Oryctolagus cuniculus: one gene and its partners. The protein of the gene in region 4 interacts with the protein of the main gene of each other region in a pairwise test. Links are inferred from orthologs where the notes say so. Each region holds a gene or a part of one and is shown on either strand. Other genes may lie near its edges. The genes, in order: LZTS2, AHCYL1, PDLIM7, GEM, TRIM27, KCTD9 and TFIP11.

Region 1 (4,026 bases), on a different chromosome or scaffold from region 4:
TGGGCTATGTTTCCCTTTCCAGGGAAAAAGAAAGAAAAACAACCCATCGAGCTAAAAATAGAGCTGAGCGCCGGCCAGGGCTGTGGCCTGGAAGGGGGGGATGCTCCTTCCTGGGGCAGAGCCCAGCTCTGGCTGGCCTTGGCCCTGCGGGGGAGGGCTGCCGTCTGGGCGAGGGAGGCCGTCCTCGCCAAGGCCAGCGGGCATCAGCTGACCTGGCCAGGTCACAGAGACCCCTAAGGAAAGGTCTGTGTGATAGAGTGCATGCAAAACACGGTGTGCAGTATGAGAAGCTGTTTGTGAGTACTGCGAGGCTGTCAGCATGTGAAAGATGCTGGGAGGTGCGAGGGCCTGCGAGTTGTTGTGAAAGACTTAATGCACAACCGGTGTGACGCGGGGCTGCGCGGGAGCTGGCCTGGGAGTGCATGGAAGGAGGCCTGGGGGACCACGTGACGGATGAAGCTCTGCGATTGCGGCTGCCCGAGACTGAATGTGGGAAAGGTCGTGTGGGTGTTAAGATGTTGTTTCCAAGAGGGTGAGCATATGCGTGACCCTGAGGAGACCGTGGAATGTTGTCTGGTGGGAAGCTGGTGTAGGCTTGGGCTGTGCCTTTCCACTGGGGAGGCCAGAAGCCGCCCTTCCCCGGGCAATGACCCTTCTCTTAGCCAGCGACTCCAAGGGAAAGTTGGGGAGTCCAGAGCCGCGCCAAGGGCAGGCCTGGGCTGGCGTCCACGGGCACGGGCTGTGGAGTGGGAGAAGACCCCCCTGGGTCGGGGGGCGAGTAGATGTGCTCTGAGAACCGACCGCCAGGTGGCGCCGCCTCCGCAGATCCTCGTGTACCGCCTCCAGCCCGCTGTGGGGTGGGCCAGGCAGGGACCTGGCCGCGGCCCCCGACTAGTGCTGGGGCGCAGGGCCCCGGCAGCCGAGGAGCGGCGGGCAGCTGACCCTCGGCTTCCCGCTCTGGACTCTGAAGCTGGAGAGTGTCTGGGGCGGGCTTCGATTAGAGAAGCGAGGGGGAGGGGCCGCCGCGCCGCGCCTTGGCCCTTTGTGCTCGAACAATGACCAGCTGCCGCTGGCCCCGGGGCCCGGCTCTGGTAGGGGGTGACCCGCCCGCCGAATCCACAGCCGACCGAGCCGTCCGACACGCAGTCACCGAGACTCGGCGGGAGGGGTCCCGCTCGCCGCCGCGCAGCCCCTGCGTGCGCCCCAGCAGACACGCGTGACGTGGGGTGCCTGCGCGTGTCCGCGCCCCGGGGCGGGGACGCCCCTCGGACCCCTCCCCCGCGCCGCCCCGCGCCGCGCCGCCCACTCGGGCCGGGAGGGGACTGGCCCGGGCCGGGTGCGCCGCCGAGGCGGAGGCGGGGCCCGGCCGGGTCGGGCCGCTCCGAGTGGCCGCGCGCGGGCCGGAGCCGGGCGGCGCGCCTGTGGAGCGCTTGGGGCGGCCCGGGGCTGAGCATGGAGCAGCGCGGCGGAGGTGAGGGGGAGGCCGGGGCCGGGAGGAGACCCGGGGTCGCCCCCAACTTCTGTGCGGCGGCGTCGGGAGGGGAGGCGGCGTTCGGCGGCCGCCGTGCTGGTGGGGGGGGGGGGTCGTCGGCTGAGTGGGGGTGGGCGGGGGGAGGGGTCCCGGCTTCCTGCCTCGGAATGGGAACTCGGATCCCAGACTTGAGCCTGCGTGACTGTTCTTGGAGTTGAGGTGGGAGGGCGACTTTCCCGAACTCCTCAGCCCCCAAAACAGGTCTGCGCGAGCTCGGAGCGCGGCCAGAGCCGTCGCTGGCCCTGGCTGAGCCCCAGCCCTCAGCCCTCCGTCCTGCCCACCGCGGCGATTACTCGGGAGAGCGAGGGGTTCCCTTTGCCCACAGCCACGGCGCATTTCTCAAAATGGAGCCTCGGCTTGCCCCTCCTTCTCAGTCGGGCTCTGAGAGCGGGAGTCCTACTGGCTGGGCCTGGCTGGCCGGCTTTCGTCGCTCTGGGTCTGGGGGGCCTTGGCCTCTTGCGGTTCCGGGGCCTGGCGCCATGGGCCGGCCTGCCTGGCTTCCTTGGCCGCCTGACCCCCGCGCCTCCCTGAGCCTTTGTCTCGGCCTTTGGCTCTTTCTCCGAGTGGGCCCATCGCCTTCCTTCAGTTTTCACTTTTCTCTGTGCTCCCTGAAGAGGAGAAATGCGGACAGAAATGCCAGCCCGCATGGCCCCCTTAGCAGCCCCTTCCCCCGTCCTGTCCGTGCCTTACGTGGCCCTGCAGAGGGAGGAGGAGGCTCCCGGGTGCCCGCGTTGCCCAGGGCTGGAGCTTGGGGTGCTGTCAGGCCCCAGCCCTGCAGCCAGGCCCACCATTGCTCCCAGCAGCTCCTCCGGCAGTCTGGACTGACACCGACCTGGTTCTTGGTGTCTTTTCACTTGGGTAGAGAGGAAAGGGATGAACTCGATGGAACACAAGCAAGAAAGAAGGGGAACAGCTCGGACAAAGGTGGTTCCCCCTCTCCCCACACTCCAGAGTGAAAACTGGCGGGTTCCCTCGCACTCCCCGGTGCCCGACATGCCTGCCCTCAGAGCCTTCTCTGTGGGTAACCCGGCTCTGGCCGGCCTGCTGTGCACACACAGGAGTTCGCGGGGGGGAACCCATGTCCTGGGTTCCTCTTCAGCATCTCAGCACACTCACCTGTTACCTGTGCATTTACTACTCCTGCGTACTTGCATGGTGACCCTTAATTACACACGCATACGTGTGAGGTTCACACGTTAGTTCACACCTAGACGGGTGTATGTATTGAACATGTCCAAACACACACTCATGTTTTCACACGCATTATTCCTGGCACGCAGTGCTCACTCTGCTGCCCCTGGGCATAAAGGCGGCCATGAAGACCTGTACACGCACACATTCCTACTCCCAGGAAGTTTTCTGTCCGCCTCCTTGGCCTGCACGTTCTGCATGATGATTTCGGCAGATGCCAGAGCCCTGGTGCTCTGCGGCCTCGGGACCGGAGGGAGTTCCCCAGGGAGGCTTGCTCTCCCCTTCCAGGAAGGAGCAGAGCCCGGGGAGGTGGTGAGGTCTTGGAGCAGCTGCCAGAAGTGATGGTGGGGCTTCCGCCTCCATCGGGGTTTCTCTGGAGATGGCGGAAGCTGGAAGCTTCTGATAGAGGTTGGAGTCGGGCAGCGCCCATGAAGGCTCCTTTAGGCCCCATGTCACACCCTGACTGGGTATGGAGAGGGTAGGGGTTGTCATAGAAACAAGCAAGTGCCTGCATCACCTCCAGGAGGCAGGTGTGTGTGCCCTGAGAGCTGTGGACTGCCTGTTTGGCCAGCTCCACCCTTGCCGCCTCTCTGTCTGGGAGAAACTGAGGCCCAATAGGGGGAGGTGGGGCGCTGCTTGGCCTTGGCTCTTTGTTCCCTAATTATTGTCTGAGTTGCTGGTGGTGTCCTTGAGGTTGTCGCTGCCCAAACTGCCCTGTAACGAGGCCACCTGTCCCAGGAGACTGGGGACCTGGGCCAGGTGCTGGGAGAGAGGGCTTCTTGCCTAACCTGAGTCCTGGTCTCCGTGGGGCTGCAGGTCTGGGTCTGGGCCTCCACTGCCAGGTGGCCCTGTGCAGGCTTCCGATCCCTTCATCTCTGCCTGGTGGCCCTGTGCAGACCAGGGAGCAGTGGTCTGGGGCCCAGAGAGAAATGAGATTCGTGCCAGTACTTGGAAGAGGAGCCTTGGGGGGGGGGGGGGGTCAGGGCGTTGTTACTCATGTCAGGAAGGCGTTTGGCCTGGATCAGGGGACAGCACAGGGACTCAAGGCCTTGTATAGGGAGAGGGTATAGGATGCTGGGATTCTTTTTGTTTTGTTTTGTTTTGACAGGCAGAGTGGACAGTGAGAGAGAGACAGAGAGAAAGGTCTTCCCTTGCCGTTGGTTTACCCTCCAATGGCCACCACGGCCGGCGCACTGCGCCTATCCGAAGGCAGGAGCCAGGTGCTTCTCCTGGTCTCCCATGGGGTGCAGGGCCCAAGCACTTGGGCCATCCTCCACTGCACTCCCAGGCCACAGCAGAGAGCT
Region 2 (3,950 bases), on a different chromosome or scaffold from region 4:
GTTCATTCTAGTCCTTGGCAAACAAAGTTAGTAAAAGCTGACCACCAAAGACCGGATCGGACCCGACTGCGGACCGTGAAGGTCACCCTGGAGCAGCCTACTTCCTCTGGCACCAAGAACCGCCTCAACTCCAGAGGGATCTCAGCGCTCAGCAGGATCCAAGGACTTCTTGGTTGAGAGCCAGGCCGGAACCCTCACTGGTGAAAGACTGCAGCACGGGAACCGGCCTGTTTCTCACTGGTTCAGTTTGTTCCTCGTGCTTTTCCCACACTTTCACGTTATCAACGCATGGCGGAGGCACAAAGTGACTTCAGTCAGAATGGCCTATTCAGCTGAAGTTCTGAGAAACAGATTACGCTGGACTCCCAATGCGACCTTGACTGGTCTTCAACTGAGCCATTAACTAAATAAATGCTTTTCATTAGTCACCATAAAGCACTGTCATCCGAAGGCTGCGCAATTGCTAAACAATACAGCTCAGAAAGGATGAGATAAACAAGGAACACGGTGGGGGGCCACGTTCATGTTCATCAGCAAACAGAAAGTTGGGACAGGGTCTTTCCCCTCATTCCCAGCAGAGACTGCTTCTATTAGCTAATAGAATGGGAGACTCTACCATCATCAGCATTTGGCCTGACGTTAAGACACATGAACAATATCCTGGGAAGGAGAGAGGAAGGCGGTATTTATTCCTGATAGGCAGCCACACAGACATCTCAGTTACCAGTTAGCTAGGTGGGCAATAAATATTTGAGTACCTTCTATGTGCTAGGTACAGAGTGAGGCACGACTGACAGAACGGTGAGCGGGAATCCCTGACTGCATGGGAGTTTAGGATCCCAGTACAGACTTCTGTCTCAGCAACAGTGGCACCTGCAAGAACACAGGCAAATACCTGACACTCTGAAGCAGCTAGACAAAAGAGGAGGAGCCGGGGCAGAGGAAGAGCCCAGGGAACTGAGGTACCAGGGCCTTCCATCCTGCCATCCAGGGCTGCAACCGGTTCTTCACAACACAGAGAAGATGACAGATGGTCACTGCCCCAACAAAGCAGCCGGTTCAACTGACAGCCCTAAACACGAAGGGTCCTCACACTGACCATCAGGGGCCACGATCTCTCCAAGGCCTTGTGGATAAAAACCGGAATTCTGTGAGAAAACAGAACTGAAGCACACAGCAATGACTTGTCTTTTCTACCTTGCGTTTCAAGTCTGCAGCTGCACACTGGTTCCCTTAAGAAAAAAACGAGAGAGCCATCTCTCCCACTTAAGACAGCTTAAGTGGTTCAAGTGCGAGGGGCCCGCCAACTCTAACTGTTCCTGCAAACCCTGCTCCGTGCAGCTTGTAGAGGCGTGCATCGCGTTAAACACCGCAGGAAGAGGCAGCCTCCAATCACTCTGTCTTCGCACAAGGAGGAACTACTTCTGCCGGTTCTCTCCGGCTTCAGAAAGGTCACCTCTGGTCTGCTGTTAACTGCGTGCCAGGTATGTGCAAAGTCAAGACGTGGTTGGCAGTAAATGATTAGAAAGCACTTGGGATCCCAATCCTACTGTGCAGAGAGCCAGTTAGCCTAAAGCCTCCAAAGGTTACCGTGTACAAGAGAACCAGAGGGTGTCCTCTGAGCTCAACCCACAGCGCGAAAGACTCAACTCGTTCTGCTTCGGGAAGGGCGGCAGAGAATGAGCAACCGTTCTTTAGCACCCACCCCTCCAACCCACCCAAGCTCCGTCTCCAGGCATGCCTAACTGATTCACACACGCGACTCCAGGAGCAACCTGCATTCGTGCCACCGTCTGCCGTCACCAACCTCCACACGTCAGCGTGCCACGGACGTGCAAGCAAATGAAGACCGCAGGTGCAAATCCCAGTTGCTTATCAAGCGCACGCTGCGGTCACCTGCATAACGGAGCGAGCTCCACGCACTCTCTCCTCTTGCGGCTCAGAGACACGCAGTCGTGTGGGACACATCGGCCGCTGCTCCCAAGGTTTGCTCGCAGCAGCTCTGCCAATTGACCCACCCACCCGAGAGAAGGATTTCTGCACATCCTCAACCCCCGGGCTGGTCTCAGGGATCGGCCAAGTTGGCTCGCCCCCCTCCCACTCTCAGCTCCGAGGCCCTTCAGCCAGAAATCGGCCGCCAATTGAAGGCCCGGCTCCGACGGGTTTCCAAAGGGTCCCAGAGGACTAGGGCCGAGGGACAAAGGAAAGCCAGGTCAGGGTTGGTCTTCTCAGCCCGGCACAGGCCCGAGGCGGCTCCTCGACGACCGCCTACGCCACCTCCGGGGTCCCCGATCGTCCCCGACCCTAGTCCTTCAAGCTCCAACCAGCCGTCCCCCGCCCCGGCTCCTGCTGGCTCGCGCCCCTCCGCAAGGCCGGAGCCCAGACCCGCGCCGCCACCCAGAGCCCCCCGCACCTTCTTGGGCGCCTTGGTGACGGTGGCCATGAACGAGTACTTCTCGGCGTCCTCGATCTCCTTGGCCTGCTTCAGCTCCTCCCCGACCCCGGGCAGCGGCATCGCGTCAGGCATAGACATCCCCCGGCCGGCCAGGCCTGCGGCCGTCCCGCCGCCCCCGCCTCCTGCGCTCACGCCCGCCCGCGCGCGCGGCGCCCTCCGACACGCGCTCGCCCACCCTCCCGCCGGGCCCCGCGCCGAGCCGCGCCGGCTTGTCAGGTGCTGTGGCCGGCGCCTCCCCGGCTCAGCAGCCCGCAAAGCAGCAGGGCGACGGCGGCCCCAGCAGCAGCGGCAGAAGCACCAGCGCGGAGCTCCGACCTGCCCGCGCCGCCACCTCCGCCACACGCAAACACGCACGCAAAGTAAGGGTAGAGGGCGGCGACGCCACGTCAAGTACTGGCAGCTCGGGGGACGGGGAAGAGGCGGGAAGAAACGTCATTCTTCCTTGACGTCACCACGCTGGGCTGGGCCTCAGGGGACGCCCTCCTTCTTTCCCACTGGCGGGTAGGCGCTCCCAGGGAGAGCCGAACACTTTGCGCCGGCAGGTGGCACCATCAGCCCTGTGAGTAGCGCGCCTTTCCCGCGAGGGTGCCGCGCCGCCGAGGGTCTCCGTGTTGCGGGATTCCGGGCGAGGCCTCAGAGGGGCGTAAGAGCGATGCTTGGGAGCCTGGGATACATCCAAGGCCAGAGAGGGCCCGCTGACACCCATGCCCTGTCTACTAGGCTCTTTGGACCCGAAACGCCTTCCCACGGGGTTAGCGTTCGCCTCTTTGACCTCACGGTGCGGGGGGGGGGGGAGGGGGGCAGCGCGGAATCGGAGCGGTCTGGTGTGTCCACACAGCCCTTTGTGACTTCTTTCACCACCGTCTCCTCCTGGGCCCTGCCTGTTTACAAGACCTTCAGCCCGCAGAGCTGCCGCGGAGCAGTCTCTGGGACAGGGCCCATGGGTCAGTTTGGCCAGCAGGAGGTGGAGGGAGGGGCACCCAGCGGGCATCCAGGGCGTTCTGGGGTTGCTCATGCCCTGGCCTGGGCCCTACTGTGTGCAGTCCCCTTGCCAAGGCGAAGGTGCACGTGACACATGCATGTTTTGCAAGGTTTAGTTCCGCTGGAAAGGCGAATCCTGTCTGTGGGCTATGGTCAGCTGAGGCTGCTTGTCCTTTAAGATGGTAATGACATTGGCTGTGATTCCCGTGTCCTGTGGAAAGTCCAGTGCCCTCCCCCAGGACTTCTGTGAATTGCTGGGGGTACTTGGGTTCTCATGGTTACCCCCTGGCTCCGGTTTTCTGCTGGTTCTAGAATTTTAGTCACTCTTCTGGTCTTGTGACTGCTTCTTTAGCTCCTTCTGTCCATTCAGCCCCTGCTTCCCTCCACCCCCAACCCTAGTCCAAAGCAACCATGAAAATAAGGCTGTGACATGGAGCAGAGCTTTTAATGGAGGTTTGTGGGTCACAGGGGACAGCTTACATCATACAGCAAACAATTTAAAATCCCATGTCTG
Region 3 (4,056 bases), about 56 Mb from region 4:
CCCCTTAGAGCAGGCAGCATCTCAGCGGAGACTTGAGCAAACTGAAAGCAGCCAGAATGATCCGTGTAAAGGCCCTGAGGCCAGAACATCCTTGGCACATGGAGGAACAGTGAGGAGGCCACCTGGCTAGAGCAGAGTGAGCGAGCAATGGGCCCTGTTTACTACGGTTATATGAGTCTTCTTTATTTATTTGAAAGTCAGAGTTACACACAGAGAGAAGGAGAGGCAGAGAGAAAGAGAGAGAGAGAGGTCTTCCATCTGCTGGTCCACTCCCCAGATGACTGCAACGGCCAGAGCTGGGCCGACCCGAAGCCAGGAGCCAGGAGCCAGGAGCTTCTTCTGGGTCTCCCATGTGGGTGCAGGGGCCCAAGGACTTGGGCTATTGTCTACTGCTTTCCCAGGCCATAGCAGAGAGCTGGATCGGAAGTGGAGCAGCCAGGTCTGGAACCAGCGCCCATATCGGCTTTATCTGCTATGCCACAGCGTGGCCCCCAAGTTACATGAGTCTTAAGGCTTAGTTTTGAGCCTACTGGAATGCTAAAAGCTGAGTGTGAGTTCCCTTTAACAGTATCAGTTGAGCTGGTCCTTGGAGAAGGCCCCGGAGGGGACCAGGGTGAAAGCAGGGGCCCATTAGGAGACTGCTACAGGTCACCAGGAACAACCGGGGCCGCAGCGACCAGTGCGTGCCCCTCTAGGACTGGGGGCCGCGGAGGGGCGTGGGTTCAGGAGAGAATGTCTGTAAAGCGGAGGAGCGTGGGCGCCGGGCGCTCACCACGGTGCATGCGCTGCGCGTGGGGCCGGGCTCCGAGCTCCGGAGACCGGCGCGAGGCCGAGCCGAGGACGCCCTCCAGCTTCGTCCACTCAGGTTGTCCACGGCAAATGCAGCTGCACGGTCACTCCTCGTCCCTCTCATCCTTCCTCACCCCGACGCCCCCATACCGACCCTCTGGCAACCCCAATTGGGGAGCACTAGCGCCCCATTTTCCCGAGGACACGGCTAACGTCCAGTGGGGCCTGGCTTCGAAGGTCTCTCTCCCCTGCTGGCGGGAGGCGCAGGGGGCGGGGCGAGGCGTGGGCGGAGCAAAGTCCTCCCGACGCGGCGTCCCGCAGCCAGGCCCCGCCCAGGCCCTGCCCCGCTCAAGGAGAAGGGGCGGGCAGCGCCGTGTGCTCAGAGCCAGACGGGGCTTCGTGATTGGACAAGGCGGAAAGCTTGGGTGGGGCTCTCCCCCGGCAGAGCGACCGCCTGTGGGTGTGGACACGCGGAGGGCGTGGTCTCCCACTCCGCCCCCTTCCACAGGCTCAAAGCGGGCGGTGTCCGCGGGGGCGGGGCCAGAACGCGGTCTGCCGATCCGATTCCAGCGCGGCTCCTAGGAGCCCGCCGCGGAGCAGCGCCCCGGCGGGGCAGAGCAGGTACCGGCGGACGCGCGGGGCTCTTGGTCCGAACCAGGCGGGGGCCGGGGGCCTTCTGAAGACTACGGAGCGCACTGGGGGTCTTGGCCGGCGCTGGGCCTGCTCCTGCGGGTTCGGCCCCTGCCTCCGCCCCCGCCCCCGCCTTCCTGCGGCGAAGCCCGCTTGTGGCGGGGCCGGTTGGCGCCTGCGCCGCTGCATGGTGCCTGGGCTGGGGGCTGGAGGGAAACTGAGTCACGGCAGGGCGGGCACAGTCCTGTGCGGGAGGCACCAGCGTAGCTCCCCTTCCTGGCCACGTTTTGGGGTCCCCACTGCTCTCCGCTGGAGACTCGTCCCACTCCTGCCCCCAACCGCTCAGAGCGCCCAAGGGGTCCCGCCCCGGCTCCCAAAAGCCTCGACCTGCCCTGGAATGGCCAGGACGCGCTCCAGGCGCCTCGCGCCCGTACCCCTCCCCCTCGCGCGGAGCCCCCGTGGCTCCCTCCACTGCTCTCCGCGCAGTATCAGCTTACACGCCTTATATAGTCCGAGCAGGCTGCAGCCGCGGCCTGCCTGCCGGGACCTGGGGGCGGGGGAGCCGAGAGCCGGCCCCTGACTCACCCCGCTGCCCGAGGCTCCAGGCTGGCTTGGGGGGAAGCCGTGCCAAATTAGTCCCACCCGTGGATACCGAGAACTTTAAGCCTGGGAAAGGTTCACCCTCCCAGGCCCTGGGCGGGGGGCTGCCCTTGTCTGTTTTTTTTTTTTTTTTTGGAAGTGAGGTCTGCCAGCCAGCCTCACAGCCTAGCCTGGCCAGATACGTGCCCACCCGGGCCTGGGGTGCGCTCAGTGTCTGTCTTGCCTGCTTGGCACCTGTTCAAGGCTAGCGTCCGCAGCTGGGACGCTCACTTTCCCATTTCTCCTCTCAGGAGCCGACACCATGGACTCCTTCAAAGTACTGCTAGAGGGTCCAGCACCGTGGGGCTTCCGGCTGCAAGGGGGCAAGGACTTCAATGTGCCCCTCTCCATCTCCCGGGTAAGCCTGGTTGGGAGAGGGGCTCCGAATAGCGGCGGTGGGGTGGGAAGGTTGTCTTTGATTGCTCAGGTCTCCAGGGGGAATCTAAGCAGGAGGCCCAGGTGTCAGCAGGCCAGGAGGTGTCTGTCCAGGTCCAGAAAAGTGGTGGCTGCCTACTCCCAGGACCCCTGCCTAGGTAGACAGGGGAGTGGAGCCCCCAGACTCCCATATCTGTGCACTGTACCTGATGCCACTTCACCGAGCCTCTGCGGTCACCTCTGGGGGCCGAGCAGAAGGGAGAAGGCCCATTGGTGTGGGAGGGAGCTTGATGAATTCAGCAAGGATCTAAACTTGAGAACAGTGCTCGGGAGCCTGGCCCCAGGCAGAGCACCCTGTGGAATCTTACCACCGCCTCACTGCCACCTAGGGGATAGCAGCTGCCATCCTGTTTGTCCAAAGGAGGGAACTTGGAATGGTGGAGGGCTTGTCCACGGCAAAGCAGAGATTTGAAACTGGGCAAGGACAGCCTGCGGGTTTTACAGGTCCCCAAGTCAATGAGAGGACCTGTGTCTCCATCCAACTGGTCCTGGTTTAGGATGTAGTGGCCTTTGACCCTGAGCGAAGGTGTGGTGAGGCTAGGCTGTAGGGCTGGGACCCAAATTCCTGAGAGCCTGCCCTGGTGGGGCGGAGCTGGTGGCTGGCTCCTCCCCATGGCAGGGGGATTGCCTTATAAGCCCAAGAATGCAGCCCCAGGCTGGGATGGCCAACAGTGGCTGGAGTCTACCTAGCTGAAAAGGGCTGGCCTGTGCCTGGACCTCCGAGCCCCCTCCCCTGGTGGCCAGGCTGTGACTCCTGGGACCCAGAAAAGAAACCACCCGCCCAGAGCAGTGAGGCCAGCACTTGGGCCAGTCCCTCTCTCTCTCTCTCTCTCTGGCCTGGGGGTCAGGAGGGGGCGGGGACTTCCTGCCCCTACATCCGCCAGTGCAGGGAGGCCCACCCAGCCGCCTGGTGGGCAGACAGCTGTTGGCAGGAAGCCCAGGGCAAGCCCAGCCTGAGGGGCCTGAGTGTTGTCCAGGCACCAGGCAGTCTGAGAGAGGCCCAGGGCAGAGTCTGTTCGTGGCGGTTTGGCCTGGTGGCCGGGGCAGGCAGTGTTCTGCCCCCCGGTATCTTTCTGCAGAGTTTTGGGGCAGGCAGGTCCCTAACACACACACACACACACACACACACACACACACTCCACCCTGAAACCTACCCTGCATCCCCCTCCCTGGGAAAATGCCACCCCATGTGGCTGGGAGACTTGGTCGGACTGGTCTCCGCCTCACCTCTTTGCTGATGAGAGTGATCTTTCAGATGTGGCCTGCGGGGGGCACTGTGGGCCCAGGCTCCCCTGTCTGCCGCCCCAGCCCAGGGGTGGGACCAGCAGCTAAGCCCAGCCTTGGAGTTGGACCCAGGCCCTGGTGGTGGGTGGATGGAAGTGGTCTTTTTCAGCGTTGGGCCAGCCCCCTCCTCTTCTCCTGACCCCAGAATGAAGGGAGGCGGGAGGGGCGAGGGCTGGCTGTGGGCCCAGGCCTGGGAGATGAGGTAACGTCTGAGACTGGTGGGGGGAGGGGTTGGGCTGCCCAGTGGAGCCCTTGGGCTGACTCACGCCCCCCTCTCCT
Region 4 (2,234 bases):
ATTAAACCAATAAAAGTACAGCCTTAATGTACTGCAGACCTACCATGTGCTAAGAACTACACTAAGCTACTTCTAAACATTTTCAGTGCTCACAAAGGTCTTGGAAAATATATTAGTAATCTATTACCTAGATGAAAAAGATGAGAAGAGTCTTTTAAAAACTGAGGGAGTTCATATAGCCTGGAAGTGAGCCCAGGGCTGCTTCATTCTCAAGCCCGTGTTCCTAAATCTTTCTTCTGACTTGAAAATAAGGATGCTGAATATCAGAATGCTCCACTATGTGGCTTTCCTCTCTTTATAAAAAAGAAAAACAGTAGGGATGGGATATTTTGAAAAAGATTTGAGGGTTTTGCAAACATGTAAAACACAGCAAACTATCCTAGCTTCTCTGGAAGCATCTCTACTTCAAATGTTTCACGGTTTTCAATGACCCCCTACTGCAGTTCAGCCTTGGAAGACAATGCTTACTGTTGACAGTCACATCCTTGCAGTAAGACCTTGCCAAACTAGCTTAGGGCATTCTCCTTATGAGGCTTCTTTTCTCCTCTACAGGGCCCGGCAATGCAGTACTTTAATTTTACAATCATGGCAAAGACCAAATCTGCATTAGGCCAATAAAGTCCCAGTGGCCCTAAAAGCACTCGAGTCTGTACACAGCACATATGAATCAGCCCTGAACTAAGTGTGAACAAGTGTGCTTGACACCACCAGACTGTGCCTTAACTGGAAGCAGGGAACAGGGAGGAGAAGGGTGTTCCCAGGTTTAGAGGAACCAGAGTCAACCAGAATAAATGATTGCTTCCAGTGACTCTTTCTCCCAGCTCCCCTAAGTCAGAGTTCACTATCCTTCCTGTATGAGGACACTTCTTTCACTTCCCTGAATGCTTGGGATCTCCCTGGAGAATACAAAGGACAAAGAGAAAAGGTCAAGGACTGCCAGTATTTGCTGAGCATGAACTCTTCCCTAAAGGAATTCCAGGAAACCTCTTGGAGCTGGGGAGAGGAGAATCCTGCAGGTAGACCAGATGGCCAATAGAACAGCACCCAGCATGGGAATGAACTGCTGGGGCTATAGGAGTTAGTGGTACACCTAAAACTGTGTAGGACTGTTTTGAGTCCTTGTCCCCAGCCTCATGAGAGAGAGGAGGAAGGGCACCTGTCGGCAGGCAGAAGCACACCACCCAGGATGTTTCCGCAGTCCTGGCACCACCCCTCATACCTGATACAGACACTTCCCGGCACCGCACTAAATCACTTTTATTGCCAACCAAAATGATCGGAATGTCCTCTGTCTGCCGGGCTCTGCGGAGCTGGATTCGCAGCTCAGATGCCTTCTCAAAGCTTGCTCGGTCTGTGATGGAGTAGACAATAAGGTAGGCGTCCCCGACTTGCATGCAGTGGTCTTGCAGCCATTCGTTCTCCCCCTAACGAAATGACAAGATCTGCCGTGAGCTCATGCTGGCCTGGGAAAAGAGGTGTCAGTTTGCAGAGAGGCAGTATTTGTATCCTAAAGTGCCCATGCTGGTAAGAGAAGGAAACTACTTTCAACTCCCCAAAGTACATTGCTCGCCCAGGTCAACCAGATGCCCGGGGGCTGTAACCATGGCTGGTAGTACAGTATTTGTGTCAGAAGTTTTTACTTTCTGATTTCTTCTACAGCTTGAGTTGATAAATTAAACAAATACCCTGCCAAACAAAATTTCCATCTTCTATCTAAACTTCCAAAAAGGAGCCTTTTCTGACTACTCAAAAACATTTTGCTTTTCCCAAGTAACAAAATTAAGAATCATTTAAGGAGAATAGGTGGATTTTCTTTTTTTATAGAAAGCTTTTATTTAATAAATATAAATTTCATAAGTACAAGTTTTGGATTATAGCAGTTCTTCCCACCCCAAAACCATCCCACCTCCTGCTCCTCTCTCATCCTATTCTTCATTAAGATTCATTTTTAATTAGCTATATATACAGAAGATCAACTCTATACTAAGTAAAGATTTCAACAGTTTGCACCCACACAGATACACAAAGTAGAAAGTACTGTTTGAAGACTACTTTTTAGGTGGGTTTTCATTAAACAAAAGGTATAACTTACATGCTCAGAAGCCCAAAATCTTTAAAAAGCAAACATCAAAAACTAGCATTGAGAATAACAACTTCACCTAAGATGGTCTTATATAATTGAAAATAACTGTTCACAGGGCCGGTGTTGTGGCATAGCAGATAAAGCTGTTGCC
Region 5 (4,173 bases), on a different chromosome or scaffold from region 4:
AGCTCTTGGCTCCTGGCTTCAGCCTGGCCCAGCCCTTGCTGTTGCGCCTGTTTGGAGAGCGAAGCAGCAGATGAAATATCTGTCTCTGTCCCTGTCTCTTTGAGAAAGAACTCTGGCTTTCAAATAAATAAATAAATCTGTAAAAATAAAAAGTAGTCTTCCCCTCCCCCAACACCTTCCCGGTTGTTCCAGGATCATTTATTGAACTTTTAGAGCCAATCTGATTTTTCCTCTACATGATACCAAATTCTTACCAACATTTTAGTCTATTTCTCAATTTCCATTCTGTCCCATCGATCTGTCAGCTTATTCTTACTTTAAGCACTGTACCTTTGCGGCATTCCTATTATTTTTTCAGCCAGATGAGAAGAGAGATAAGAGAGGAGAGAAGCTGCACAAATATGCATAAATACCTTAGGTCTAATGGACTCTCCGAACAGTATGGCCCCGCCCAATATTTCTACGTTTTTTGTAAGTGGGCTAGGGTTACTGGGGTCTGGAATTTCACAGACTGGGTACTCAGAGTGTGGTTCAGAGGACGTGGGCTTGGGGTTGGCATGTCCACTTCGCCTCTCGGATCCCTCCAAACAGAAGTTCCGGAAGCAGAGGCCCTACTGCTGAGACCCAAAACCACACTGAGAAAAATCCCAAGGAAACCAGCAAATACCAAGTAGGGATGACGGGAAATCCACTGTGTGATAAGAGAACAGACAGCCCGGGATTCCAAGACCCCGGGGCACTGTGGGATTCGCACTCTGAACTTCAGAAAGGAACAAGAGGTTTTCAGGTGCCGCTCAATACAACAACCCTACGCCGTGGGTATTTTGCGGTTTTCACGGATAAACATCCTTACGGCTCAAAAATTAAACGATTAAGTCTACCTTCTTGCTGAGGTATACCGATTCTGAGGCTCAGAATGGTAAAACACCTTGCATGAGCAGAGATAGGGAGTAGCAGAACTAGGCTCGCGGTTTTTCTCCCTGCGGAAATGTTTCAGAATGATAAATACACCCATTTTTCCCCCTAAACAAAACGGCGAGCGGCAGCAAATGATGGCTCTGCTTAACAAAGTGCGTCACGTACCGGATGCAGCTCAGTTTGCAGCCCCATCCGCTAGCCTCAGGGCCTGCGCTTCCCAGTCCTACACAAAGCCAGCCCTCTCTGGCAAGGGCTAAGGCCTGAGCGCCCAAAGAAAACCTCACAAAAGACCAGGGGTCCTCAGCGCCCGGTTCGGAGGTCCCGTCCCGACCCGTCCCGCCCTGGGGCGCGCGCCCAGCCAAGCCGCCCTCCGCGGCAGGAAACAGCTAGGCCCCGAGGCCAAGAACCGCAAGCCCCGCCCCACGCCGCCCCGCCTCTTCCGGTCGCGCCGGGGCGGGGTCTCCGCGGCCTGCGGGATCCGCTTGGACGCAGCCACGTTGTCCTGCGCGCCTGGCGCGCCTGCCCCTGTGAATCCGGCCCGAGGCGCTGCGCGCCTGGCCCCCCTACCCGCGTAGCCGCGGGGCTCCGTCGGGAGGCAGCCTTCCGGGCCTCGTTCAAAGGGTACAACAGGGCAGCGAGCTGCCCGGCCGCCGGAGCCTCCCAGGGAATCCGGGCCCGAGGGGCACCGCCCTCCGCCCGCCCGGCTCGAGCAGCGACCCGGAGAGAGCGCCGGAGAGTCGGGCTCCGCGCAGAGCTCGGCGCCGGGGGCCCATGCCCGTGCGCCCCCGCCAGCCCGCGCCATGGCCTCCGGGAGCGTGGCCGAGTGCCTGCAGCAGGAGACCACCTGCCCCGTGTGCCTGCAGTACTTCGTCGAGCCCATGATGCTCGACTGTGGCCACAACATCTGTTGCGCGTGCCTCGCCCGCTGCTGGGGCTCGGCCGAGACGAACGTGTCGTGCCCGCAGTGCCGAGAGACTTTTCCGCAGCGGCACATGCGGCCCAACCGGCACCTGGCCAACGTGACCCAGCTGGTGAAGCAGCTGCGCACCGAGAGGCCGTCCGGGCCCGGCGGCGAGATGGGCGTGTGCGAGAAGCACCGCGAGCCGCTGAAGCTGTACTGCGAGGAGGACCAGATGCCCATCTGTGTGGTGTGCGACCGCTCCCGCGAGCACCGCGGCCACAGCGTGCTGCCGCTCGAGGAGGCGGTGGAGGGCTTCAAGGTGAGGGCCCCCCCCGGCGCGCGCGCAGCGAGGCGGACAAAGGGAGGGGAGAGCCACGGGGGCTTCCCCTTTTTTTCCTTGCCTAGAAAATGGCTGAGCCGGACGTGTGGTTCACAGCCGTCATTTCCTCTCTGTCCGCTCCCGAGCCTCCGCACTCGGATTTGGAGGAAAACCTGTAGCTGCTGGGGAAGCCAGAAGTCGCCCCACCCCACCCCCACTCCTATCCCTGTGTTTCCCAGATCTCGGACGCTATGGACATAAAGACGTTCCCTGGAGCCCTTCCCCCACCCCCACCCGCAAACCCGACACCCTACAAGATGTGCATAAAGCTGTGTACACATCAATAGGCTCCTGAGACACTCTGCTCCCAAATTATAGAGGAAACCCGCTCGGACGGTGACCGCGGTGTCCGAGTCATCCGGCAGATGCCCGTCACTTAGTCTGTAAGCACTTCTTGTAAACCGTCTTGTTCTAGAAGCTCATGGAAAGGAACACATTTCTCCACTGCTTGAGTAAGGCATTTCGCCATCCTGAGACACGGGAGATAACAGGTATTATGATTAAGGGGATAAGAAGTGCAAAGCCTTTTGCAAACTGTTGAACCGACTGCGGCAGCAAAACAATAACACGGAAACAAAGTATCACGTGCAAAAGAGTTTTAAGGAGACATTCCAGGCGTCCTTGATGTTGTCTGTTTGCTATGTGTTTGAGGGCTACAGGATTATACCCACAGTTTTGTCCGTGTTTAAAAGTGAATGCATTTCTGCATAGTCACCTAACATGGAGCTTTTAACTGCATCATTTCACCTGCTCTCCTTGTAACTGGAATAGGCTGGGAAAGTGGTATTTACCCGTCACACATGAGGAGAATTAGAGAAGTTGCTTCATTTTCTCAGTGGACCTCTGTGGAAGGTCTACAACTTGACTTTAAATCTCCTAGTCCAGTCACCCTAATGCTAAACTGGGTAGAGGATTCATTTAAGAAATGCACACATTGCCATAGAAGAGAGGTGGTGGCCCCTGTGCTTTGAGTCTTCTGTGGATGGTAGTGTGGTCTGAACACAGGCTCGCACCAGGCACCTGGCATCAGAATTGTAGTTTCTGTCTGTGGGGAAGCAAAACAGCCATGGTTATACTATGGCCTGCCCAACTTTTTTTTTTTTTTTTTTTTTCAGGAACAAATCCAGAACCAGCTGGACCATCTAAAAAGGGTGAAAGACTTAAAAAAGAGGCGCCGGGCGCAGGGGGAGCAGGCACGCGCTGAACTCCTGGTAAGGGCTTTTGGAATTCCCAGATAATAGCGCTTTTGCTGGTCCGTGCTTCTGTCAAGCCAACTTGCTCAGTTCTTCCAGTTGCAAGTGAAACAACCCCATGTGGCAGTGGAAACTTAACCTGGAGAACCAAGGGGCTCCCCTACTTTTGGGGAGAGGGTGGAGGAGCTGTGCTTGGGAGTCATAGATACCTGCTGGATCAGTAAAGTTTAGCTTGTTAGCTGCTTGTGGGCCAGGACTGATGTTTGGCAGACTTGAGATAGGTGAAATTCTTGAGAATAGTTAGCTGGCATCCTGTGGTGCACTATCCTTCTCACAGGTGCTGGTGATGGATTTGTGTCAGCCCCACTGGTTGACTTTCTGGAGTGTTCATTCCCCTTTCTAAACAGAGTTTTTCGCTCTGTTTTCTTTGAGCAGTCTTCCAAGGCTTTGGCAGGAACCTGATGTGCTAATTCTGATATGGGTATTTTGGAGTTTTGTTTTAGAAAAACAAAAAGTACAGAGGGTTTTATCATATACACTTACATATTTACCACCTAAGTGTTTACAATGTGAGTGGAATAGATAAAATGTTACAGACCTCTAACCATTAGAGGTGTTTGCATCTGAAAAGCAAACTCCTAGACTAGCAGTGTCTGGAATCTTGAGAGAAATTGTGTCAGTTCTAAGTTGTGTCCCTTCTAAGCAGGGAGCTCATTCCTAAGGTGTCCTTAGATTCCACCACTTGCTCTGCCCACACAATCTGCTGAGACCACAGTTCCCCT
Region 6 (3,500 bases), on a different chromosome or scaffold from region 4:
TTCTGAATTTTATAATTCTGATTTATACTGGTCTTTCATATTTTGCATTATTTACTTTTTTAGCATATTTTAGGATTCTAAATTATAGGTATCTATTTTGTATTTGTTTCTAAGAAGATTTTCATTGTTTCTAGGGATATAATTCTTCTTAGTATTTCTTATGCTGTAAAACCTTTTATATGTGACTTGACCTCAGTGCCTTCCTGTTTTTCAGTTGTACATGAAATTAATTTTCCTTGGCTTGAGAAGGAAAGATTTATTTGGGGATATTTTTTGTTTTCTGTGAAGTATTTAAAAATATAGGACTTACTTTATGTTATATTTTGGCCTCGTAAACCTTCTTTCATCTGGACTCTTTGGACTTTATTCTATTCAACTTATATTCTTTTCCTAGCATCTTGTCATCAGAATGGAACTTTGTCTTTTGAAAGGAGTTTTGTGGTTGGTTTTGAAAATTCATTTCCATCTCCTTTAGATCTTATTTAAACTAGTTACATCATCCATTTTGGATATAGGCATGTACCTTCCACTTTCAGCCTGCTGTTCTCAAATAGACATGTTGAACTGTGAAGTTAGTATGTATGGATTGCTTTTGAGTTCTCAGATTCATCACATACTCTATTGTTTCTATGCTTTTTCCTTCACAAACACTGATAGTGTGCTGTTCTTAAAGCTGTCAGTATTGGTGGGAATACTATGGATTTGAGTTTTTGCTCTCCAGTAGCTCTGGTACACTTTGATGTGCGAATTTAGTTTCAACAATGATGCCATTGCCATCTTTGCAGAATTCCAAATCTTAATGTGTTTACTATTTTCTACATGTTGTCTCTAGATCCTCAGACCGATTGTAAACCAGCTGAAGGATGGTTAGGATCCCACACAGACTGGCTAACATTAAATGTTGGAGGGCGGTACTTTACAACTACACGGTAGGTGCATGTATGTGTGTGTGTGTGAGAAAGAGTGTGTGTGTGTCTTACAGAGTCAGTAAAAGGAGTACTGTGCGTGTCCATTTGTTCTGTCTTGCAATTTGCTGATTTCTTTAAAAGATACTCAGATGCAGCTTAAGTGTAACATGTTATCTGAAGCCATTTTTAGAAAGTTTTTTGAAGAAAAGAATAGGACCTAGTTTACAGATCATTCCTGAGAAAGCATGAAGACCTGAATTTTATGTTTCAGAACATGCTTTTCAGATAGTGAATAATATATATGTATATATACACACGCAATGTAAATAAAAACTAAGAATCCTGAAATTTGTAGAAATTACAACTGTTCACATTAAAGAAATTTTAAAAAGTAAGTTTAGACAATCTAGAATATTGTGATGTACTAGCATACTAGAAGAACAGATTAGTAGTTAAAATAAAAGAAACTAAAATAATATTTAAGTCAAAGGAAGTACCAGATTGGAAAGGATCTTGATAAATGGCCTCTTACTGCACGTTTTTGTTTCCTAGCATCACTCCTACCAGGTGATAGCATGCATCTTGTTGAGAGAGCAGCTGAATTCGAGTATGCTCTTGAGTTAAATGTGTTTGTTTATAAAGACAAATGGAGAAATCAATTTTTTTCCCTGAATTCTTAGGAGCACTTTAGTGAATAAAGAACCTGACAGTATGCTGGCCCACATGTTCAAGGATAAAGGTGAGTGTAAGTCACTGTTTTCACATTTTATGTGGTCTGTTTGTACCCGTATTCATGACCTTTTGTACTTTTCAGTGATATCAATAATCTTTACAAGAGTAAAACTTGTTGGTATGTCATATAATTTATCTTCTATAAATTTCTAACTATATTTTTTGTTTGTGGGGGGCTTTCTTCATTATAATGGAAACACAGGTGTCTGGGGAAATAAGCAAGATCATAGAGGAGCTTTCTTAATTGACCGAAGTCCTGAGTACTTTGAACCTATTTTGAACTACTTGCGTCATGGGCAGCTCATTGTAAATGATGGTATTAATTTATTGGGTGAGTTTTCAATATAATTCACATTTTTATAAGTTTAAGGTTTTTATTTTATCTTCACTTAGAAATGTTTATTTTCACAGAGTGAAAGTATATCCTTTCCATTTTTAAAATTAACTTTTTCACATATATATGAGTATATACAGGTTTAGAAAGATATTAGCACAAGTATATATTGTCTTTAGAGAATATATATATATGTGTGTGTGTGTATAGTATCTATCTATGCATGTATTTGTGTGAGTATATATCTAACTCACAAGTTTTAATTTTAGATTTTATCACAAGGGGCTTTAGAATTTTTTTTAAGACTTGAATTGTGAATATGGGGTAACTTCCAGTTATGGGCCTTTCTATTATGTTCAGAAGCATAGCAGTCAAGAGAGAAAGCCAAACTTTGGAATTAGAGTCTGGGTTCTACAACTTACTAGAATATTGACTTGGTGAAATTGTTTCTAAGTCTTTTTTGAAAAATTAGTGTTAAAAATTTTCTGCGGACCAGTATTGTGGTGCAGTTGGTTAAACCACTGCTTGAGACCCAGCACCCCACATTGGAGTGCCAGTTCAAGTCCTGGCTATTCTGTTTCCAATCCAGCTCTCTGCTAATGCATTTGGGAAGGCATTTTGGGCAAGGACTTGGGTCCCTGCCACCCATGTAGAAGGCCAGGATGGAGTTTTGGGCTTTTCTGCCCAGCCCAGACCTGGCTAATGTGATCATTTGGGGAGTGAACCAGCGTATAGAAGTTCTTTCTTTGTCACTATGCCTTTCAAATACATGAATCCTTAAAAAATAAATAAATAAATAAAAATTCTGTCTTCTCTGCCTATGTCACAGACTTTTATGAGGACTTATGGAAAGACGTAGGCAAAAGCCCTTATAAAACAGTAGTTGCATATTAAAACTTACAGGCCTCCAAGGGTCTGGACTTGGTCTTATGTTAGTACTTGCAGTAGGGTGGAGAATGTGGCAGTCTTTAGGTAATATGCCTACTCAGCCTCTGCAACTTGTTGGCACATGAAAATGTAGACTTAGAGTGCCAGAGTGTTGATTTTAAAATAAAAGCTGGTTATCTATATAAAGTTTTCTGATTTTCAAAATACTGTTGCATGTTTTTGTTGCACATGTTGAGTACATCAGAATCAGCTGACTGCTAGCTTACAGTTTCTGTAATGAAATTAAAATACCCAGTCAACCTTTACATGTTCGAATATTAAACTGTGGATTCTTTTTTAAATGTTTGATTGAAATAAATGATATTATTTGACCTTTTCAGGCAGCTCTATAACTTTTCCTAACCAAATTATTTTTTCTTTATTTTTAAAAATTTTATTTACTTATTTATTTAAAAGGCAGAGAGAGAAACAGAAGCAGAAAGAAATCTTCCATCTAGTGGTTCACACCCATAATGCCCCCAATAGGAGTTCTAGGAGCCTAAAACTCAATCCCAGTCTTTCATGGAGGTAGCAGGGACCCAAGTACTTGAACCATCACCTGATATCTCCCAGGATGAGCATTATCCAGAAGCTGGGTC
Region 7 (3,500 bases), on a different chromosome or scaffold from region 4:
TAGCACAGGTGCGCAGCCCACCCCACTGCGACATAGTCTGTAGCACAGGTGCACAGCCCACCCCACTGTGACGCAGCCCCTGTCGCACGTTCGCATTTCCTGGGTTGCACAACCACCCTAGTAAGCAGTTGGATTCTTCCTGCAAGAACTTTTCCCCGGGCAGTGACCGAGGGTGTAATTAAGAGTGAAGCCTGTGGTTCCAATTCCAGTCTCTTTTTAGTAGTTGGCGTAAATCTGTGTTGTGTTGAGAACACGAGCATGAGTGAGGCAGGGCTGGTGACCGGGAGGAAGAGTGAGACTTCCCCAGCGCTAGGTGGGAAGCAGGGAGGGGAGCAGTTTTTGAAAAGTTGTAATCCTGTCTAAATCCTTTTATGAGAGAAACAACCTGCACGAGTATTTCTGGGGCTTCAGTGTGTTTCTGAAAAGCTCAGTGTGGGGACATCAGCTAAGAAGTGCAGCAGGGGCGGCGTCTTGTGCCGCATCTTGGGCTGCCGTTGTGGGGCAGGGGTAAGCCTCTGCTTGCAACACTGGCATCCCACGTGTCCTGGCTGCTCCACTTCCAGCCCAGCTCTCTGCCAATGTGCCTGGGAAAGCTGCAAAAGGTGACCCAAGTCCCTGGGCCCCTGCTGCCATCCACGTGCGAGACCCAGGTGGAGTTTCAGGCTCCTGGCCTTGGCCTGGCCCTGTCTTAGCCGTCGCAGCCAACTGGGGAGGAAGCCAGTGGATGGAAGATGTGTCATTCTCTGTCTTTCACATAAATAAACGCCACATCTCCATGAAGTGCACCTGTACTTCAGAGTCCGTGGGTACATGTTGTCTGAATCCCTGCACTTTGCCTGATGGAAGCTTCCAGAGGAGTGAAGCGGGGAATCGAGTGTGCCGGCGCTCTCTGTGATAAGTGATTTGTGCTTTCTCCCATCCACGGTGCAAGCCTCTGGTTGGGACATGAGTTACGTGAGGTCAGCAGGCTGTTGTGTGATCACATAAGTGCTGGACGTTTCCAATGGCCTGGGCCTGGGCAGGGCAGGGCTCTCCTTGCTGGGGACCGTGCTGCCTGTTGAGGGCAAGGCTGCTTGACATCCCCGAGTGGTTTATTCACATGAATTGCTGCCGTCTGAGCTCTCTGTCTTCTGACAATCGACAGGCATCATAAACCCCATCGAAGCCAAACAGAGGAAGGGCAAGGGAGCCGTGGGGGCCTACGGCTCGGAGCGGACCACGCAGTCCCTGCAGGACTTCCCCGTGGTGGACTCGGAAGAAGAAGCCGAGGAGGTGAGTGGAAGGCAGGCCTCGGTGTCCTGTGCCGTGGCGGGCGGCCGACTGCTCCTGCGTTCTGTCAGGCCTCGTGCTGTCCGGGCTGGGCTTCGAGCCCGTTGGATGGAGACACACAGTAAGCCAGCAGCTCCACGTGCTTAGGGATGCAGGCTGTGCTGGAGACGAGGAGGTGACAGGAGGGGCAGGGAAGGGGCGTGGCCCAAGTGTAAGGCACAGGCTGGGACGGAAGTGATCTCTGATCTCAGGAAGGAAGGAGTCCCACTGAGATGTGGCTCAGGGAGGGGTGGGGCGGGGGTTGGAGGCGTTTGGGTTTCACCCAGAGTGCAGGAGGAGCCACCTGCTGGCAGCTGTGCTGCTGACAGAAGGGGTGGGGCGGCTCTCCACAGAGAGCGGGAAGGCAGGCGCCGCAGGGGAGCGCCTCGCTCGTGTCGTCACCAGCCTCCTCGTGAGCAAGGACACGCTGGACAGTGTGGAAGTGACAGGTCTGAGTCGGGCTCTCAGGCTTCAGAGCTGACGGGCGTGCACGCCACGAGCCAGGTGCCAGGCTGTAGGGGGTGGTGGGGACTCGGGCACACAGCTGAGGACGTAACTTGTGGAAAGCCGCTGTTCGTGTTCGGCGCTAGGCACTTGTTGCCATGACAACACGAGCTTGGGATTGCCTGATCTGATTCCCCCAAAGCCAGCAGACGTCCAGATAGTGTCTGAGAAAATAAATTATGTGTGTAAACCAGTGTGAGAAAAGTGGAGGGACAGCCACACCGTCAACTTCTGAGGGCTGCGCCGTGCCATCCTCAGGCCGGCTTGCTTCCTCACTTCTCTTCAGATCTCCCTGCAGAGGGGTTTTATACACCCGAGTGTCAAGTGGATCCTCACCTTGAGACTTGTTTATCATTTTAATCAGAACCGAGGCTTGGGGTACTCCTGAAGTCCTTCCTGTTGCATTTCTGAGTTTCGCACGCGCTCAGTTTCACACCAGCAGAGCCTGCCCACAGTGATGCCCAGCGGGGTGGCCTTATCTCTGGATCTCCCAGCAGCACGGGGCTGCTGCCCCGCCTTCCGAGCCTCATTGTCTGTAAGAGGCTGGGTGGCTGCAGCGTCACAGCCTTGGTGTGGAGTTGGGGTGAACGTGAGAGGCTGCCCTGTGGTGTCAGTGGTCTTCGTCCCACAGGCTGTGGGAAGTGCTGTTTCCTGTGTGACCAGTGGTTTCCCTGGGGTTTAGGAGTTTCAGAAGGAGCTGAGCCAGTGGAGGAAAGACCCCAGCGGAAGCAAGAAGAAGCCCAAATACTCCTATAAGACGGTGGAAGAGCTGAAGGCCAAGGGCAGGGTCAGCAAGAAACTCAGTGCTCCCCAGAAGGAGATTTCGCAGGTCAAGGTACGGGGCTCCGGACATCGGGTTCAGGAACCACAGAAAGCAGTCCCACAGCCCAGAGGCCGCCCCTCACTGCCTATCCCTGAGCTTCCTGGGGGCTTCAGGGCCTCGTGCGTGGAGAGGGCAGCGCTCCTACTGTGGCCCATGACAGTGCCACGCTGCTCTCGTTACTCTAGGTTTAGTATGATCATCCAGTTACACTCCGTCAGTTGTTCCTCACGGCAAGGGGTGATGACCTTGGTCACATCCCCATCACAGCAGTGGTGACCCAGGTCACATCCTCGTCATACACAGTGGTGGTGACCTTGGTCACACTCCCATCACACACAGTGGTGGTGACCTTGGTCACACTCCCATCACACACAGTGGGGTGACCCAGGTCACGCCCCCGTCACACATAGTAGAGGTGACCCAGGTCACGCCCCCGTCACAGTGGTGGTGACCTTGGTCACGGCCCCATCACACACAGTGGTGGTGACCTTGGTCACGGCCCCCTCACACACAGTGGTGGTGACCTTGGTCACGGCCCCATCACACACAGTGGTGGTCACCCACGTCATGCCCCCATCACATACAGCGGTGGTGACCCAGGTCACGCCCCCAACACACAGTGGTGGTGACCCAGGTCATGCCCCCAACACACAGTGGTGGTCACCCACGTCATGCCCCCATCACATAAAGCGGTGGTGACCCAGGTCACACCCCCAACACACAGAGGTGGTGACCCAGGTCACGCCCCCGTCACACCCAGTGCTTCCCCAGGGTGTGCATTAGCTGGAAGCTAGAATTAGAATCAGAACCTGGACTTGAACTCAGACACTCTAGGAGATGAGGGTGTCCCAGGTAGCAGTTGAAC

The links.
Region 1: the proteins of GEM (region 4) and LZTS2 interact in binary tests that used the Homo sapiens proteins (3 or more experiments, as listed by UniProt). The two-hybrid records come from large-scale screens. The link is inferred for Oryctolagus cuniculus from reciprocal best matches to the Homo sapiens genes GEM and LZTS2.
Region 2: the proteins of GEM (region 4) and AHCYL1 interact in binary tests that used the Homo sapiens proteins (3 or more experiments, as listed by UniProt). The two-hybrid records come from large-scale screens. The link is inferred for Oryctolagus cuniculus from reciprocal best matches to the Homo sapiens genes GEM and AHCYL1.
Region 3: the proteins of GEM (region 4) and PDLIM7 interact in binary tests that used the Homo sapiens proteins (3 or more experiments, as listed by UniProt). The two-hybrid records come from large-scale screens. The link is inferred for Oryctolagus cuniculus from reciprocal best matches to the Homo sapiens genes GEM and PDLIM7.
Region 5: the proteins of GEM (region 4) and TRIM27 interact in binary tests that used the Homo sapiens proteins (3 or more experiments, as listed by UniProt). The two-hybrid records come from large-scale screens. The link is inferred for Oryctolagus cuniculus from reciprocal best matches to the Homo sapiens genes GEM and TRIM27.
Region 6: the proteins of GEM (region 4) and KCTD9 interact in binary tests that used the Homo sapiens proteins (3 or more experiments, as listed by UniProt). The two-hybrid records come from large-scale screens. The link is inferred for Oryctolagus cuniculus from reciprocal best matches to the Homo sapiens genes GEM and KCTD9.
Region 7: the proteins of GEM (region 4) and TFIP11 interact in binary tests that used the Homo sapiens proteins (3 or more experiments, as listed by UniProt). The two-hybrid records come from large-scale screens. The link is inferred for Oryctolagus cuniculus from reciprocal best matches to the Homo sapiens genes GEM and TFIP11.

Annotation. Positions count from the first base shown.
Region 1 is NC_091446.1:28,872,964-28,876,989, reverse strand, and holds the start of LZTS2 (leucine zipper putative tumor suppressor 2), read left to right. Parts: upstream 1-1,226; 5' UTR 1,227-1,471; intron 1,472-1,609; exon of another isoform or gene 1,610-2,334; 5' UTR 2,335-2,404; coding exon 2,405-2,455; intron 2,456-4,026. UniProt on the Homo sapiens protein: Negative regulator of katanin-mediated microtubule severing and release from the centrosome. Required for central spindle formation and the completion of cytokinesis.
Region 2 is NC_091438.1:60,339,268-60,343,217, forward strand, and holds the start of AHCYL1 (S-adenosylhomocysteine hydrolase-like protein 1), read right to left. Parts: upstream 2,801-3,950; 5' UTR 2,534-2,800; coding exon 2,414-2,533; intron 1-2,413. UniProt on the Homo sapiens protein: Multifaceted cellular regulator which coordinates several essential cellular functions including regulation of epithelial HCO3(-) and fluid secretion, mRNA processing and DNA replication.
Region 3 is NC_091437.1:63,489,781-63,493,836, reverse strand, and holds the start of PDLIM7 (PDZ and LIM domain protein 7), read left to right. Parts: upstream 1-1,256; 5' UTR 1,257-1,410; intron 1,411-1,952; exon of another isoform or gene 1,953-2,220; intron 2,221-2,309; 5' UTR 2,310-2,320; coding exon 2,321-2,416; intron 2,417-4,056. UniProt on the Homo sapiens protein: May function as a scaffold on which the coordinated assembly of proteins can occur. May play a role as an adapter that, via its PDZ domain, localizes LIM-binding proteins to actin filaments of both skeletal muscle and nonmuscle tissues.
Region 4 is NC_091437.1:119,681,504-119,683,737, forward strand, and holds part of GEM (GTP-binding protein GEM), read right to left. Parts: intron 1,425-2,234; coding exon 1,220-1,424; intron 1-1,219. UniProt on the Homo sapiens protein: Could be a regulatory protein, possibly participating in receptor-mediated signal transduction at the plasma membrane. Has guanine nucleotide-binding activity but undetectable intrinsic GTPase activity.
Region 5 is NC_091436.1:154,135,823-154,139,995, reverse strand, and holds the start of TRIM27 (zinc finger protein RFP), read left to right. Parts: upstream 1-1,373; 5' UTR 1,374-1,718; coding exon 1,719-2,138; intron 2,139-3,313; coding exon 3,314-3,409; intron 3,410-4,173. UniProt on the Homo sapiens protein: E3 ubiquitin-protein ligase that mediates ubiquitination of various substrates and thereby plays a role in diffent processes including proliferation, innate immunity, apoptosis, immune response or autophagy.
Region 6 is NC_091433.1:48,748,590-48,752,089, forward strand, and holds part of KCTD9 (BTB/POZ domain-containing protein KCTD9), read left to right. Parts: intron 1-832; coding exon 833-929; intron 930-1,588; coding exon 1,589-1,647; intron 1,648-1,842; coding exon 1,843-1,971; intron 1,972-3,500. UniProt on the Homo sapiens protein: Substrate-specific adapter of a BCR (BTB-CUL3-RBX1) E3 ubiquitin-protein ligase complex, which mediates the ubiquitination of target proteins, leading to their degradation by the proteasome.
Region 7 is NC_091452.1:20,273,462-20,276,961, reverse strand, and holds part of TFIP11 (tuftelin-interacting protein 11), read left to right. Parts: intron 1-1,144; coding exon 1,145-1,272; intron 1,273-2,494; coding exon 2,495-2,647; intron 2,648-3,500. UniProt on the Homo sapiens protein: Involved in pre-mRNA splicing, specifically in spliceosome disassembly during late-stage splicing events. Intron turnover seems to proceed through reactions in two lariat-intron associated complexes termed Intron Large (IL) and Intron Small (IS).